Linked DNA regions of Cricetulus griseus. The protein of the gene in region 2 purifies or fractionates together with the protein of the main gene of each other region. This does not show direct contact. Links are inferred from orthologs where the notes say so. Each region holds a gene or a part of one and is shown on either strand. Other genes may lie near its edges.

Region 1 (4,090 bases), on a different chromosome or scaffold from region 2:
ACCAAGTAAAAATGCCAGAGTCCAAATCAACTCTGAGGGTCGCTAGCATGCATTGCTCAGGAAAAAAAAAATAGCAAGTTAAAGAATTAGCAGCCACGGGAATCAACTTCCTAAACTGTTTGGTTTTTCTAGCAACTTCCAGCCCAGGGATGTTTGGTGTTTTCTGGGCTGCCAGATTATTGGCCAAGGAGGGAATCTGGTCCTCAGAAACAGCCGATGAACGCCTAGCAGCCGAGGGGACTCGGGCGGTCCAGTGGGCGAGAAAAATCAGCCAATCGCTCCTAGCGCCAAAGCAAGGGAGCCTTTGGTTTCAGTGAAGCGCCCTTTCTCAAGGCCATTGCCCGCCCTGTAACCCTGCCAGGCAGCCTGGCTCGCTCAGCAGGGCGCGGCCCTAGCGCCACCCGGCTCGCCCCGAAGAAGAGGTGGGACTTTCCCCACCGGAAGTGAACGCGTCCAGTCTCGGGGAATTGGGGCACCTCAGCCAGTGTGTCAGGGAAACCCTTCCGGGTTTATGCTGGGGGGGGTGGGCTGGGGGGTGGGTGAAGAAAAAAAAAAAGAGGTGGGTTCGGTTGGAGTCCCTGCCGCCGCCGCCGCCGCCGCCGCCGCTGGACGGCCCCCGCCCCTTTCCCGTCGTCTAGCATCAAGGCCGGGCGACCGGGTGGCCATGGCCTTGGCTTGACAGAGCCTCCCGGGCGGCTGGGGGAGTGCGGACGGCAGGGTAAGCGGCGGCGGCGGCGACGGTGGCGGCTCAAGGGAAGGAGGCAGTGGAGGCGGTGGCTTTGGGGGAGGTCAGACGACTCCTAACGAGCGCCCCTCTTCCCTCCTGCCCTCCCTCCCCGTCCCCCGTTACAGGCCCGACGACCCCCGCGGGAACGGGGGCGCCCAGAGAGCCCGCCCCGGCGGCGGTGAGCACAGCGGGGGTCCTCCCCCCCCCCCCCCGAGGCTTCGGGCCGGCGGCTCGGCAGCGGCGCCAGCAGGAAGCGGGGTCCCCCGGGCCCCTTTGTGTGCAGGGCGGGGGGGGGAGGGGTGGCGGGCAGCCCCCGGCCGCGAGGCCCCCGCCCCTTCCCGCGTGGGGGTGCGCGGCGGCTCCCCACCCTCGCTCGCTCGCTCTCGCTCCCTCGCTCGCTCCCTCGCTCGCTGGCTCGGCCGCTCGCCGGCGCTCCCTCCTCCCCACGCCCCCCGGGGCCGGCCTTAGGTTCCTATAGGAAGGGCATTCCCCTCCCATCCCCACCCAGCCGCCACCGGCCTCTCTCCCCTCCCCCTCCTGGAACTTCCTCCTCGGCCGGGGTTGGGCCCTCGGCTTCTCTGCACTCTCCTCCCCAGTTCGCACATTTCCGCCCACCTTCCGCCTCGTCTTGCGGCAGCGCAGCTAGCGGGGTGTTATTTTCCCCCCCTTGGGCAGGAGTTGGTGAAGGTGAGACTCATGAGGGAATACAAGGTAGTGGTGTTAGGGAGTGGAGGGGTTGGCAAATCTGCCCTCACGGTGCAGTTTGTCACTGGGACTTTCATTGAGAAATATGACCCCACCATTGAAGATTTCTACCGCAAAGAGATCGAAGTGGACTCTTCTCCCTCAGTACTGGAAATTCTGGACACCGCAGGAACCGAGCAGTTTGCCTCCATGAGAGATCTGTACATCAAAAACGGCCAAGGGTTCATCCTGGTGTATAGTTTGGTGAATCAACAGTCTTTTCAGGTAATCAAACCGAGTCTTGGAATTTCTTCGAAGGGGGTGTGGTAATTGTACATGTACTTCTGATTTGCTTGAGCTGTGTGTTAATAAGTGTGTTTGGCGTTCTAAAGTTTGGCATGGCACGGGAAGCACTGGGTTATTTCTGGAGAGAGTGCTAAAGGACAAATATTTTAAAGTTATTTTTAAGGGAAAGAAAAGTGAAAACGAAATGGGTCAGCTTGCGTATATTTAGCCGTCGCTATAACCTGAAGTTGCTTATTCAATTCAACAAGTATCGATTAACGTGCTCAACAAAACATTTCATAGATAATCTCAAGCAAATGGAGCACGAAGAAAGAAATTGTTAAGCCCATTATCTCTTACACATAGATAAAAACCTGTGTGCCTGGTTTTCCTTCCTCCACTTCTGTTTGCCTCTAAGTTCCTCAACTGGAATCCTAAATCTCTGCTGCAAAATGAGTACAAGTTCTGTTTTCGTGGTATTTTACTTGGGGGAATGCACCGCAAAGGAAGTTACTAGTCTAAAAGACTAGGACCTAGGATTCATAATCAACAGAAAGTAAGAATGACCCTCCTTTTCTCTCGTTGATCCAAATCGTTTCTGCCATCGTAGCCTATACTTAAAGAAAATATGTGGAACTGGGAACGCTGAGCACGGGCAGATTTCTTATCCCAGTGGGGTAGCCAACCTGGATCTGGTCCAGTTGCTTCAGAAAATCCGTCCTGTCTTTTACTGGGAAACAGACTGAAGTTAACGTTATTTTAAGAGATGCAGTAATTGTGCTATTTATTCTTTGAAAATAGATGACCTTATATTGACCCGTTAATATTGACTACCATTGATTTAGGAAACAGCTATTTTTTTTCTGCATTTAAAGGTATGCACTCAATGTTGCTTACTTAGGGAATCTTAAGTGCCTTAGCCCGTGTAATGTGCTAGTTTCACATTCTTCAGGAGTTGAGGGTAAAGTGCTATATCGGAATTTTTCCAGTAACCTTGTAACAACTTCAAGAACTTCTTTGTAAGGATAGTAAGTTCTGGGTAAATGAATTCAAGGATGTTTTAGCTAGATAGAAATTCCAAACAAAAGTACCATAAAAGCATTTCCCCCAGGAAGTACTAAGGGTATTTTCTATCTAGGGGATCCTCAGGAGATTTGTTTGTTATCAGCAGATTCTCCTGAGGCTGGAAGTCTTTGCAGTGTGTTTCCTAAGGTGTCCACTGAATCCACTTCTGTTATAGACATAAATAGGGAATATGGAACTATGGCATTATTGCAGCAGAGTCAGATTCTTTTGAGGCGAAAGTTGGTATTCTTAGCTAAACTTGTTCCATAAGGAAGCCCAGAAAAGCAGCTTAACAATTCAGAGAAGACTGAATTGGTACATTTGACCTGGGTGTGAGTGTTCTGTTTACTGTAATTACCCAAATGCAGATTTCATATTTAAGTCAACTCTTTTACAAAACTCAAAAAAAAATGCGATGCTGGGCCTAAACCTATAATATTGTCTTATATCAATTCAGTTCTCTCCAAAAATTGCTATCACTGAAAACCAGCTAGGATTCTTACCACTATGAGAAAAATCAGTAGGGAAGCAATGGGAGAAGAAAGAAATGTAGCTTCTCATCCAGACTCCAGATGCATTGGCCACAGTTGTTGACATTACAAGGCTAAAGACATAGTAACCAGTTTAAAATGAAATATTTATGTGTATATCTGTTTCCAAAAATGGATTTGTAATTATTAAAATGGGTTTTTTTTGGGGGGGGTTGTTGCTTTTGGGGGGGGGTTGTTCCCTCTTAAAACACTTTCTCTTAAGTCCTCTTGCTAAATGACTAGGAGTTACTTACATGCTGCAGTCTTGTGCTGGGATAACAGGTGTTACAGGAGCGATGACAAGTAGGCAGCTTTAGGGAGCTGGCCAAACATCTGTATGTACAAATGGATGAATCATATTTGGGGACTTGATTCTTTAATTGAACTAGACGGAGGGTGGGGGGCAGTGGTTAGATGAATTTTAAGGTGAGTGCGCAACTTGAATCTTATATCCCTGATGCCAAAGCACAGCTGGTGCCTGTGGAGATGATCTAGTTCTCACTTCCGTAGGGGGGGTACATGACATTGTTGTCGTTATTTAAGTATGTGGTTTTAGCTTTATATAATCACCGAGGAATGATTTTTGTGATATTGTAACACGTCTGCTGTGGAATGCAAACATATAATTGTGTTCTTTCCCTTTGTGATTGCTTGAATAGGATATCAAGCCAATGAGAGATCAGATTGTGAGAGTGAAGAGATATGAAAAAGTTCCACTAATCCTAGTAGGAAACAAAGTGGATCTGGAACCAGAAAGAGAGGTTATGTCTTCAGAAGGCAGAGCTCTGGCTCAAGAATG
Region 2 (3,560 bases):
GGCATGTGGCATGACATAGGTGCTGGTCAATAGGAAGCACCTATAGAAACAGACCCTAATTCCATGGAGCAGTTTTCCCCTGTGCCCTTCCTTTGCTCCCCTTCTAAGACAGGTGGGTAGTTTTGTTTCATGTGTGGGGGTGGCAGTGTTTGTTTTTCTGATGAAAAGGCTTCTTGAAAAATGCTTTTGCTCTAGAGTGTTATTTCATATCTACCTCATGTTCCATTTCTCAAATGAAAACAAAAGTATACTGGAAGGTTGAAGGTATGTAGTGGGTCACACAGCTTGTCTTTGATGGAACTGGGGTAAGGATCTCCTGATCTTTTTGTCCAAATAGGATGTGTACAACTTCAAGTTTCAGTATGTTCCCACCTCTTATCCCTTCCTCAAAACTGGAGTTTGCACTAAGGACTTTAGGGATGTCAAGTTAGCGTCATCACCTCTGTGTATACTGCTTTATATGTAATTACTGCCTCCCATTGTGTACAGATTGGCCATTTTCTCCCACTGTCATGCCATCATCAGTCTGCCCATGCGCATGTGCCTGTGCACAGTACACAGACACACAAGCTCAGCACCAAGGGCCTGGGCCGATTTTCTTGTAGAGAAGTGCCCATGGTCTATGATCCTGATCATATCCTTCAGACTACAGTCATTCCGGGTGCCTTTGGAATCATCAGCAAGAACACAAATTTTGTTTGGTTTTTTGATTTTTGTCTTGTTTTGTTTTTAGATCTTAGACAGATTGGGGTTTTAGTGATTGTTTAAAATGATGCCTTTTAAGCAGATATTAACTAATAGAATCCCTTGATCCTAATTAAGCTCCTGTTTCTGTGAAGTCTGCCATGGTAAAAGGAAGACATCCCCCTTTAAAGGTCTATGTTGGATGTGCTAATAGTATCACGTACAGCAGTGCTCAGACACTGCCATGTGTGTGGCGGGGATGTCTTAGACTTCCTGCACTTCATTGGCCAGCTTGAAGCCTTTGCAAAAGTTCTCAGTAAGAGATTGCTTTTAGATGAGGTGTTCACTCTTTGGTGAGTTTACTGTAAAGCTTATTGGAGTAGTTCTTGGTTACCCACACAGGTGACTGATGCTTTCCTTCTGGATGTATTGACTGCTGGGTAATTTCTGTGTGACAGGAGTACATCAGGCGGCAGCTAGAAGAGGAGCAGCGGCACCTGGAGATCCTGCAGCAGCAGCTGCTCCAGGAGCAGGCCATGTTACTGGTAACGCCCCGCCCCGCCCCGCCTCTGTCCCATTCCCTAGCCACAGGGTCTGTTTCCCCCCTCCTCCCAGTCGGCCAGCTGTGGTGACTATCAGACCTTTTTGGTTTTGCTCTGGAAACCAGGTTCTAGAGAAGATGTCCTCTGTGGTCATGCTGTCAAGCACAGTGTAAACTGACCTTTGTTTCCCATTAGTAAGTTAACTACTCTTGTTTGGTAGATGCCTATCAAGTTTTAAACAGAACTTGGCATTCAGTGAATATGAAAACGCTGAAGGTATCAGGCTCACCATGCATGCTATAGGATTTTTGCTGAGTATGTGTGTATATATACCTCTGAATCAGATGCTTAATTGAATTCTTTTACTCTGCAATGATGTTTCAGTTAGAAAATGCTGTCAAATTTTACACAGGTAACATGCTATTTAAAATCCCAAACATTTGCCTTGCTCTTATACAAGAGGGGAAAGTGCAATTTAAACAAAAACCAAGAAGGGACCCGGAGAAGAGGTGAGCTCGCCAAGGTCCCCAGATTCAGTGTACCCTCTCCCTCTCCAAGGAGTGCCGATGGCGGGAGATGGAGGAGCACCGGCAGGCAGAGAGGCTCCAGAGGCAGTTGCAACAAGAACAAGCATATCTCCTGTCTCTACAGCACGACCACAGGAGGCCGCACCCGCAGCAGCAGCCACCGCAGCAGCCGCAGCAGGACAGGAGCAAGCCAAGCTATCATGCTCCAGAGCCCAAGCCTCACTTCGACCCTGCTGACAGAGCTCGGGAGGTATCTTCTTTCACTTGTTGCTTTAATGTTGGTCCTGAAAAAGCTCCGAGATGTTCCCTCGTGACTGATGAGAGCCGTGCTGTGAATGCCAGAATGGACCAGTAAAACCCGCCTTTGTCTTCCATGTGGAAGACATTTCCATTTCTCTGTTAACAAATATTAGAGGAATCAGAAGCAAAACTACACAAAAGGAATTCTTGGCCCCATCATCTTTAGAATGGGAATGAATAAGAGAAATGTTGGTCTGGTGTAAGACTACTGTGAGGATGAAGTGGACTTTTAGCCTGATTTCTTTGGATCACGTGGTGGTGCATTTGGTCACAGAGCCTCAAACTCTAGGCTGCAGCCAAGTGTTCCTCTCTGGGCTATACAAAAGGGCTTTGTTGCTTCCTGAGTACGGAGCAGTTCTGGCCTGTAGATGGCACCCTTCTTCTACATCCACTTTCACAGGGAGGAGAGTAAGGAAACAAGTTCTGTTCATAGTGTTAGAGTAATGAAACTGGACCCTGAGGCGGTCTTAGAGGCTGCTTTGCTTAATTTTCATTTTCATGACTTTTAAAAATCCTCTATCAAATCTTAGCCCTGCTTTATGCCAACCCCCAGCTGACTCTCTCTTTTCATGTAGCTGAAGAAAACAGCCTTTATCTTGATTGTCCTGCTTTTAGACTTTCTTCTTCATCTCTCCTTTCCCTACTAACATGGAGCTATCTATGTCTTCTAATTCTCTGATGCAGGTGGAAGATAGATTTAGAAAGACTAACCACAGCTCCCCTGAGGCCCAGTCTAAGCAAACAGGCAGAGGATTGGAGCCACCGGTGCCTTCCCGATCAGAGTCTTTTTCCAATGGCAACTCCGAGTCTGTGCACCCTGCCCTGCAGAGACCAGCGGAGCCACAGGTAGCAGCAGCAGCTGCCTTTGCTATGCTGAGGACGTGCAGTGGCTCACTGGGCCACACATTGTTCGTGTCATGTAGGAAAGAGAAGAGAATGGCTGTAGTTGGATAGCTAATGGAGGATATGCATTCAGCTGTAGGGAAAAGAGGGTATTAACTTAGATGTGAAGCCCCTCTTTCCTCTTTAACAAATGCCTTTTCACTAGGGTTTTAGAAAGTTGGTTTTATTGTGTAAGCATGTTTGAAGAGAAGCAGAAGCTCTTCTTCCTGACATTTTAAAGGAAGTACTTTACCCTTGTGGTCCCCAGCTCCCTGGAGGACCCTTGGAGGCTGAAGATGTCCTGTAATTCCATGCTGAATTCTATTTATTTGACCTAAAATGTAGATTTTTCTGGAAAAGTCTCTCCCCCCCCCCCCCAGATTCACAAACTCTTCAAGATTCACAACAGGTTATGACCAGTAGATTAAATACCGATTTCCTGGAGGAAGTCAGGAAAAAGGTTATTTATTTCCTTTCCTTTGGTCTGTACCATATTCTACCTTGTCTGAGTGGTCAAAGAGAAACTGCCCTGTTGTCTATACAGGAAAGTAGATGGCTGAGATGTCACAGGCTGAATGTCAGCCTCAAACCCTGGTTCTTGCTGTCTCCCTGAAGATGGTGTTTA

The links. Proteins that work in one complex are often made in the same cells at the same time.
Region 1: the proteins of Map4k4 (region 2) and Rap2c purify together in Homo sapiens (affinity purification with mass spectrometry; 3 studies listed by BioGRID and IntAct, counting the BioPlex papers as one, with this or other methods). This does not show direct contact. The link is inferred for Cricetulus griseus from reciprocal best matches to the Homo sapiens genes MAP4K4 and RAP2C.

Annotation. Positions count from the first base shown.
Region 1 is NC_048604.1:18,930,369-18,934,458, forward strand, and holds the start of Rap2c (ras-related protein Rap-2c), read left to right. Parts: upstream 1-1,270; 5' UTR 1,271-1,423; coding exon 1,424-1,696; intron 1,697-3,950; coding exon 3,951-4,090. UniProt on the Homo sapiens protein: Small GTP-binding protein which cycles between a GDP-bound inactive and a GTP-bound active form. May play a role in cytoskeletal rearrangements and regulate cell spreading through activation of the effector TNIK.
Region 2 is NW_023276807.1:8,206,941-8,210,500, reverse strand, and holds part of Map4k4 (mitogen-activated protein kinase kinase kinase kinase 4), read left to right. Parts: intron 1-1,142; coding exon 1,143-1,229; intron 1,230-1,784; coding exon 1,785-2,003; intron 2,004-2,737; coding exon 2,738-2,899; intron 2,900-3,560.